Linked DNA regions of Caenorhabditis elegans. The protein of the gene in region 1 purifies or fractionates together with the protein of each later gene. This does not show direct contact. Each region holds a gene or a part of one and is shown on either strand. Other genes may lie near its edges.

Region 1 (4,912 bases):
AGTTTATTGACAGGTTTTTTTTCGAAAGTTCAAAACTCACGGTGAACTGTGGATTTATTGTGTTGAAGCCGTCAATATTTTGCAGATCGCAGAAACTGAAGAAAAAAAAATTATAATTCGAATTTTTCGCATAACTCATTTTCAAGAAAATTAGGGCGATGAAGAAACATAAGAACGAAAAAAAATTCTTAGCAAGAAAAAATGCCTTTCTTTCACACAAGAATGGCTAAAACGGGCGGAGCGTCGTTTCATCTAAGCTCTCTCACTTTTCAACGATTTCTAATGGCGAGTGCTCCGTTTTTGGTTGGTTGGGTGGTCAACAGAGAGGAGCGGCGGCGGCAAAAAAGGAATTGTTCTAAATCTCTCTGCTATGAGAACTCTCTAATTTCTCTCTTTTTTATGCGTTCTTTGACCGAAAACGAGGGAAAAAATGCGCTGAAAAATATTTTCAACTTCACGCAGAGGTCAGAGTGTCTCTTATATTCTCATTCTCCCTCGCCTGAGCCACCCTGACAACAACTAAAAGTTACCGTATTTAAAAAAAAAGGAATTCATTTTCATAAATCTAAAAATTTCAATAATTTTCTACTGATGAAATTGACTGAATCTTAAAAAAACTGACTGTAAAAAAACAACAAAAAAGACGGCAACTAAATGAGAACTACAGGAATACAAAAAAACGGACGAAAATGCATAGAAAAAACAAAAAAAAACAAAAGAGTGCCAGAAACCAGAAAGTGGTTTAAAAACTGGTTTTACGACAATCCTACAGCTACAGAGAAATATGAAAAACAAGAAGGGAAACAATTTTTTCAGCAAAAATTTAGAATTTTCGATCCGACTGTGACATGGCTAATTTGATTAAATGTTCCGTAGATTCATTGCGGTTGGGGAGGGATGAAGCCTGAAAAGTTTAATTTTTTTTTTCTATGTTTCAGTTTAAAAAATTACCATTTCAACAGCTTTTTGTGAATATGAATCAATCAATCTTCGCGTTTTATCCATTCCATCCGAATTTACAACAATTTCCCGTGCTTTTTCAGCATCTCCATCATGCTTGAATTTTCGAAGAAGCATCGTATTGAGCTCAGGATATTGCTCGCAAGCGTATAGTACCGGAGCAGTGGCGAGACCTAAAATATAAAAAATTTGAAAATTATTTTTTCTTCTTTTGCAAAAACTTGAAACTATATTATTCGTTTTCTTCTCAAAAAAACTCGTGGCGAGACCCACTCAGAAAACCATTTAAAATGAAGTGCCAAATTTTTACGAAATATCGGTAATTCCATTCACCTAATTTCAAATCAGCGGCCACAGGTTTTCCCATTTCATCAGCAGTCGCTATAAAATCAAGAAGATCGTCAGCAAGTTGGAAAGCGATTCCCAAATTTCGACCGTACTCGAACGCAATTTCATGAAGCTTCAAATCTGATCCATCTGAAAAAGGCCGATATGTTGCAAAGAAAATTGATGCAAAAACCACCTGCAAGAATAGCAGCAGACCGGCAACTACTGGCGAACAAACTGGCAGTTTTTCGATGAGTTTTTTCTATATAAGCCTTCATTCTGTCTACTGGTGTAGCATCTGTTGGAGTTGTTGACATTTGCATAAATTCACCCTAAAATATTATTTATTAGAAGAAAATTTGAAAATTTATAGCTGTATAAATATTCAAATTTCATTATAAATAAATAAATAAATTGATTAAAACCTACTAAAACCAAATCTTCAATAATCGACGCCATAACTGAAATGATGTTGGGTTTTCCGATGGAGCAAAGAATCTGCGTGGCACGAGCAAGAATGAAATCTCCGACGAGCACTGACTGAAAATGTTTTTTAACATAAATTTAGAAGTTTTTATCCCTAAAAACTTCTTCTAAGTTTACAAGAGAAAAATTTATGCGCAAGAGGTTACTGTAGAGCGACCAAATTTTCGATTTTTCTGTTTGCCAGGTTTTCACAGTTTTTCTCCAAAAAATATAGTTTTAATCAACATTTCTAAAATCTAAAAATAATTTTTTTGCAGAGAAAGCTGCTTTAAAAGCTGAAAATTTTGGAAAATTCAGCAAAAAAAGAATAAATTTGTCGGATTACAGTATCCAATTTGTTTTGAAAATTCTTTATTTTTTATAGATCGTGATATGTTATATTCAAGATTAAAATTTTGTTTTAATTTCAAAAAATCTACCATTTTATTTCCCCAAACAGCATTGACACTAGCTGATCCACGCCTTGTATTCGCCTCATCAATGACGTCATCGTGCACTAGAGACGCTGTATGGATCATTTCGGCTGTAAATTTCTTTATTTCTCTTTTCCGACTATTCATAGTCTTACCAATCATTCCTATTTTGTACTGATTTTGACATACTGATAAATGAGCGGCGATCCCTGATCGTTCTGTTGACAACATTGCCAGGTACTCTTCTCTGCAAAAAAACTTTTTTTCGTTTTTGATCAGTAAACATTTTATTAGTGAACATCAATACGGGCTGCCAAACTCCATTAGACTAACTACTGTTAGAATTGTACTACGACATGTGAAAAGTTAAATTGAAAATTGTTTTGAAAAGTTCATGGTATGTAGTCATTTCAGCACCATAGGAATATTTTAAAATTAGTTTCATTTTCATCAATATGAAGTTATGCCAAAAATAGCAAAATCATTTTCTCCTGTGCACTATCTACGTAAATCAGACTGCTCTTCTTTTTCAGATATAAAAAGTTTTCCATGTAATAAACTTACGAAATTGAACGATTCGCTGCGGAATTACAAGCATTTCCCATAAGAAGCGATACAGTCGGCCGTAACATTTTTCCACCCTGAAATTTTCAATGTCTATGAGTTGGAAAAATATATTTTTAGAAACCTGTTGAAAATAATAATGTGTCATTCGTCCTAAATTCGATGTAACATTCAAGTCTGCTAGATTTTCAACGGCACCCGATTCATCCTGTGGTATTAGTTGTACCATTATATCGTTCTGAAATTTCAGTTTTTTGGTTAAACTTTTATTGAATTTAGTGAATTATAAACCTGCATTTGTCTAACATGTTCCTGCACGAAAGCTGTTGAAGCAACACTATTATCTGATGAGGATGTAGATGTTGATGTGGCTGCCATTGAACATTTTCTGCAATTTTTTTTTGAATTTCGGAAATTTAAAATTTCAAAAGTTGTTACCTGAACTGCCTTGCGACAATATTGATTTTCGGTAGAACACCCATAATTATCTTCTATTCTTGATTCTTTATACCAGTTTTTGTTTCTTTCAGTGCTCAAAAACTAGTTTCACCGGCGGCTCATGTGGGTTTAGGAGGTCTGAAAGTGAATGAAGATAAGTTTTTTGAAAAGTGAATGATGCAAATTGAGGCTTCTGAGAATGCCAAAAGAGTCATTGATAACAGATATAACTGTCCATTCAGGAGAGGAAACAGCTGATAATTGAAATTCGCATTAAAGATGTGATTGACGTGATTAAAAGTAAAAAGGAGTATAGTTATAACCGAGAATTTTGAATAAATTATATTATTATAGCCTAAACACTTTGAAAATGCCAATGAAAATTTTGGAGTAATTTTGAGAGGAACTTTATTTTAATAATATCTCTGATTTTTTTTCAATGTTAGATTGGTAAATAATTTTTTGGATTAGAAAAGAAAATATAGAAACCAGGAACTAGTTTTTATATTTTTTTTATTTGCCAAATTTTGAATTGAATTCAATTTTATATACACTGATTGATTCAAGCAACCAGTGTACTTCTCAAGATTTTACAGTTTTCGACCATTTTCACTAATTATTGCATCAATTGGCATTTATATCACCAATTTATCTCTTATTTATAGTATGTTATCTGAAAACCATACGTCCATTTTTAAATATTGTTAAATACTTTAAATATTAGAGAATCATTATTTTCAACTAGAGATTCACAGAAGTCTCTCCGAATACAGTTTATTCGGAAAAATAAAAATAAATTAGTTGTTGTATAAAGGTGATCAGAAAGATGGAAAATGAATGTAGCCTCCCACTTTTCCCCTTTTCACCGCCGAAGATCGCTTCTCTTTTTCTCTGTGCTCTCTCTTTCTTACGCACTTCGTCCCTATCTCAGTGTTCTTTGAATTCTCTTTTCTCTAGCAAAAAAGAATATATTTTTTATCAAATTTTGTTTCTTTCTCTCTTTGGTTCGAGTTTATCGAGAATAAAGAAGATCGATAGATAATTTTCAAAAGGAACAAATAAAAATATTTGTGAAAAATTTGGTCAATCACCTTTGACAAGTAGATGAATCGGATTGAATCCATTTAACCGCCAAAACAAAAAGGTTATTGAAGAAATAGAAAGAATAAATATATTCATTCGTTTCTGTTAACATTGTTGATTGTTTTTGAATTTAAGATTCAAAAAATTTTTGAAATAAAATTGAATCTAAAAACAAAAAAAAGACAGGGATAGAGACATGGGAAAACGAAGAATAAAACCGCGCATCACAGACAGGAATTGACTAAAACTTTCAGAGAGATGAATAGGAAAGAAATGGATTTTGATTGGCAAAAGAACAACAATCCGATGGAATAACATAGTAATGTATAGTTTTTTGTGGAAATCGGGGATTAAATAGTTGTGTGTGGGGGGACCTCGTAGAAACCAAGAAATAAAACCAAAACCAATGGAAAATTGACCGAATAAAACTGAAAATTAAAAAAAAAGAACACCAGAGAAATGCAAAACAAGGCCATGTTGCAATTGTGATATAAAGCTCTGTTATAAACAAAAATGAAAAATCAAAGAAATTAAAGTTCCGTTTTGTCAAGAATTGTGTATCTCGAAGAAGCAGGCTTCAACTTCTCGAATGTAGACGGTGGTGGCTCAGTGTCCGGTGCTTGATTTCCAGTCTGAAATGT
Region 2 (3,989 bases), on another chromosome or scaffold:
ATTAACACATTTAGATTTGTTTTAAATAAAAATTCAAATACGATATACATAAGTTCATAATCTTTTTAAAAAAATGTATTCAACTTTCAAATTAATCCTTCAATAATTTCAGCATACTTCAAGCTAACTGAAAATGGCCGTGAAAAATGTCGTAGACAAAGGAATATCATAATTGGCTTTCTATCAAAAATGTGTCATTCACCAGGTGGAGGCGGAGAGCATCGTGTTGGAGAACTTCTGATGAGTATGAATTATCTCAGGGTTTGTTTATTTTTGTATAACAGCTATCCAGCAAACAAAGGATATTACAGGAATCTGCTCAAAAACTCACAACTTCTTACGTGATGCTCACAGTTTTCAATGTTCTCAACTGTGATTCAATGCTTCATGAAATGCTTAATTTTCAATACTAGCTAAATATTTGTGTGAAAGTGTTTTATTATGTTCAAATTTTATTGTTTTATCATGATCGTCAATAAAACAAGGGCAAATACTGTTTTACTACTTGATCTCTTACTACGTGATCTCTTTTACTATGATTTGCATACATAGATCTTTTACGACGTTTTACTCTTTTGCTACAACCGTATTTTTTACTCCGTTATCCCATTTCGATCTTTTGCTACAGTTTGTATCTTTTGTTACGGTGGACATTTTTACTACAATGACAAGGATTGTATCCTTTACTAATGATTTTTTACTACATACGAATTAAAAATTAATTTTCATAGTACATATATTCTAGATATGAACAAATGTATGAATATTTTTTAAAAATGCATAGGTCACAGTTTTAGTTTGTTCTCAAGTAGTTCTAGTAAATTTCAGTTGTTTTCTTTTGATGGGATACTGAGTTGGAGTTCATGGAGAGATACTGTTGGGTTACTGTAGTTGTACTGTGGTAGTAAGAGTTTTCAGATTATATCGTTTTTTTTTTTAATTTCTAGAAATTGATTCATTATGAAATGATCAGAACTTATTATGAACATTTGGCTCTAGATATTAAAAAAACACGATATGCTCTTTTGTTCTCTTGTAATCATGAATAAGGATCGCTAGATACCCACTCCTGTTTGTGCGCGATTATAAATAATCCCCGAAAGGACATTTCCAAAATTACCGTTTCCCTGGACATCGTTTTCCAAAAATACAAGCTCTAAACGAGAGCCCCTTGATGTTTTTTATTTGGTTCGAAATTTTATATGTCTGCATAATCTGAAAAATTAATTGGAAATTCCGAAGTTATGAAATACCGCGTGCAATTGTTCAAAATCTTTTATTCAAACTTCCGCCTTTTTGCCCGCGGCGGCCGCGTTTGTGAAAGTTCTTCCATTCGCTACGTACACCTCGTGGACAAAGTTAATTTCACTTTTTTAGAAGCATTTTCTGCAATTCTGTTCAATTTTTGTTTAATTCGTTACTCTAATCGTTTTGTTGTATCAATGTCAGCAAAAAGATTTTTATTCCAGTATTACGTAGATTTGTTTGTGTTTAGCCGACAAATTGAGCTTCACTATTGCGTAACCATTGTTTCCTTGAAAATAGAGCATATAAATTTTTTTCAGATAAATGTACAGAAGACTAGCCTCCGGCTTATATCAGGTAATTTAAACAATTTTGTTTACAGTGAAAGTAATTTATTTTTCAGACTTCCCAAAGAAGAATCGCACAAGTTCAGCCGAAATCAGTATTTGTCCCAGAAACAATTGTAACGACACTTCCGAATGGGTTCAGAGTTGCAACAGAAAACACAGGTGGATCTACTGCTACTGTAATTATTTTTCCTAAATTATTTGTTTGTTCAAAGCTATTTTTATTAGATCGGAGTATTTATTGATGCCGGCAGTCGCTACGAGAATGAGAAAAACAATGGAACAGCTCATTTTCTAGAGCATATGGCGTTCAAAGTTAGTTTAATTTAATTTTTAGAAAATTTTGAATTTCATATAAAAATCCGAATTTTTCAGGGAACGCCTCGCCGGACTCGAATGGGATTGGAGCTTGAAGTTGAAAATATTGGAGCTCATCTAAATGCGTACACTTCTAGAGAAAGCACGACGTATTATGCTAAATGTTTTACAGAAAAGCTTGACCAATGTAAGAAATAAAATTATTAATGCAATTTTTAAAATATCTATTCCGAATTGCAGCCGTCGATATTCTTTCGGATATTCTTCTGAACAGCAGTCTTGCCACTAAAGATATCGAAGCAGAACGTGGTGTAATTATTCGAGAAATGGAAGAAGTTGCACAAAACTTTCAAGAAGTTGTATTTGATATTCTTCATGCTGATGTTTTCAAAGGAAATCCTCTTTCCTATACAATTCTTGGTCCAATTGAATTAATTCAAACAATCAATAAGAATGATCTTCAAGGATATATTAATACACATTATCGAAGTGGCAGAATGGTATTAGCAGCAGCCGGAGGTGTCAATCATGATGCGATTGTTAAAATGGCAGAAAAATATTTCGGAGAGCTCAAGCATGGAGATTCTTCAACTGAATTCGTCCCAGCCACTTACAGTCCCTGTGAAGTCAGTTTTTGTTTGAATAAATTCGCTATCAGCAAATATTAAATAGAATTAACAAAATATATTTTTAAATGTTTACATTTCAGGTTCGAGGTGACATTCCAGATCTTCCAATGTTGTACGGAGCGATGGTTGTCGAAGGAGTATCTTGGACCCATGAAGATAATCTTGCCCTTATGGTGGCTAATACGGTACTTTTTTAAAAAATATTTTTATAACTTAGAAGTTGATAGTTCATCATTCCAGCTAATGGGTGAATACGATCGTATGCGTGGATTCGGCGTGAATGCTCCAACTCGCTTGGCTGAAAAATTGTCACAAGACGCAGGAATTGAGGTTTTCCAATCATTTAACACGTGCTATAAAGTAATGAATTCCTGGGAAAAAAAACTCTTTTTACATATTTCTGTAATTCAGGAGACAGGATTAGTTGGAACTTATTTCGTAGCTGCTCCGGAATCCATCGACAATCTTATTGATTCAGTTCTTCAACAATGGGTTTGGCTTGCGAACAGTGAGTTTTTATTTAACATAGTCCTGAGTCAACATCTTTCATTTCCAGACATTGATGAAGCAGCGGTTGATCGTGCCAAGCGCTCCCTGCATACGAATCTACTCCTAATGCTCGATGGCTCAACTCCAGTCTGTGAAGATATTGGTCGACAACTCCTTTGCTACGGTCGTCGGATACCAACTCCAGAATTACATGCCCGAATCGAATCAATCACAGTCCAGCAGCTCCGAGATGTTTGCCGACGTGTATTCCTTGAAGGACAGGTCTCTGCAGCAGTTGTTGGAAAGACGCAGTATTGGCCAGTTAATGAAGAAATTCATGGAAGATTGATCAGAATGCAATAGATACATGTGTTATAGTTTATTTGTTAGACAAACGTTTTGTTTTTGGTAAAAATAAATTCTAAAAACCCGTCAAAAAGTGAAAAATACAGCATCAGTCAATTGTAAATTGGAAGTGGGTGGGCTTCAGTGTTGAGAACCCATCGATCGAGTGGAAGGATTTCTTGATCATCAGCCATTAGAAGGTAAAGGTATTTGAGGGTCTCAGCAAGGAAGAATGATTCCATTTTGTCACGTCTGAATTTGAATGATTAAAAATTAAACAAAATGCTGACAAACCTTTTGATCTTCTTTCTGAGCACATTGTCAATTGAGCTGTATCCACCAGTTTCCACTTTTGCATACTTTTCAATCGACTCAAAAGCTTTCCATCCCCACTCTTGATATTTCTTATCTTTAGTAACACGATACAAATAGAACCACGCTTCAATTGCTTCTGGACGGAGAAGTGAATGAGCATCAAGATTCTTCACATAAGTATCCGCTTGTGTCATATCAGAACTATCCTCCATATTGAAATGTATTATTTCTGGTCCAAGTCCTGTTGGATTTTCATACATTTTATGACAAACATTTCCAATATTTTTAGCCATTTCCAAAT

What was found. The genes of interacting proteins can lie anywhere in the genome.
Region 2: the proteins of coq-1 (region 1) and mppb-1 fractionate together in Caenorhabditis elegans (co-fractionation; one large-scale study listed by BioGRID). This does not show direct contact.

Annotation. Positions count from the first base shown.
Region 1 is NC_003279.8:5,412,304-5,417,215, forward strand, and holds coq-1 (All trans-polyprenyl-diphosphate synthase PDSS1), read right to left. Parts: upstream 3,327-4,912; 5' UTR 3,233-3,326; coding exon 3,189-3,232; intron 3,139-3,188; coding exon 3,042-3,138; intron 2,989-3,041; coding exon 2,875-2,988; intron 2,828-2,874; coding exon 2,751-2,827; intron 2,434-2,750; coding exon 2,342-2,433; intron 2,297-2,341; coding exon 2,193-2,296; intron 1,828-2,192; coding exon 1,717-1,827; intron 1,620-1,716; coding exon 1,484-1,619; intron 1,438-1,483; coding exon 1,294-1,437; intron 1,134-1,293; coding exon 952-1,133; intron 905-951; coding exon 824-904; 3' UTR 538-823; downstream 1-537. Other genes in the region: erp-44.1 (Thioredoxin domain-containing protein), read right to left, coding at 4,802-4,903.
Region 2 is NC_003282.8:9,073,108-9,077,096, forward strand, and holds mppb-1 (Mitochondrial-processing peptidase subunit beta), read left to right. Parts: upstream 1-1,565; 5' UTR 1,566-1,569; coding exon 1,570-1,602; intron 1,603-1,648; coding exon 1,649-1,771; intron 1,772-1,820; coding exon 1,821-1,907; intron 1,908-1,967; coding exon 1,968-2,097; intron 2,098-2,150; coding exon 2,151-2,536; intron 2,537-2,619; coding exon 2,620-2,724; intron 2,725-2,779; coding exon 2,780-2,899; intron 2,900-2,950; coding exon 2,951-3,047; intron 3,048-3,095; coding exon 3,096-3,391; 3' UTR 3,392-3,464; downstream 3,465-3,989. Other genes in the region: Nuclear hormone receptor family member nhr-11, read left to right, coding at 113-261, 312-413; mans-4 (alpha-1,2-Mannosidase), read right to left, coding at 3,487-3,625, 3,668-3,989. UniProt on the Caenorhabditis elegans protein: Catalytic subunit of the essential mitochondrial processing protease (MPP), which cleaves the mitochondrial sequence off newly imported precursors proteins. Preferentially, cleaves after an arginine at position P2.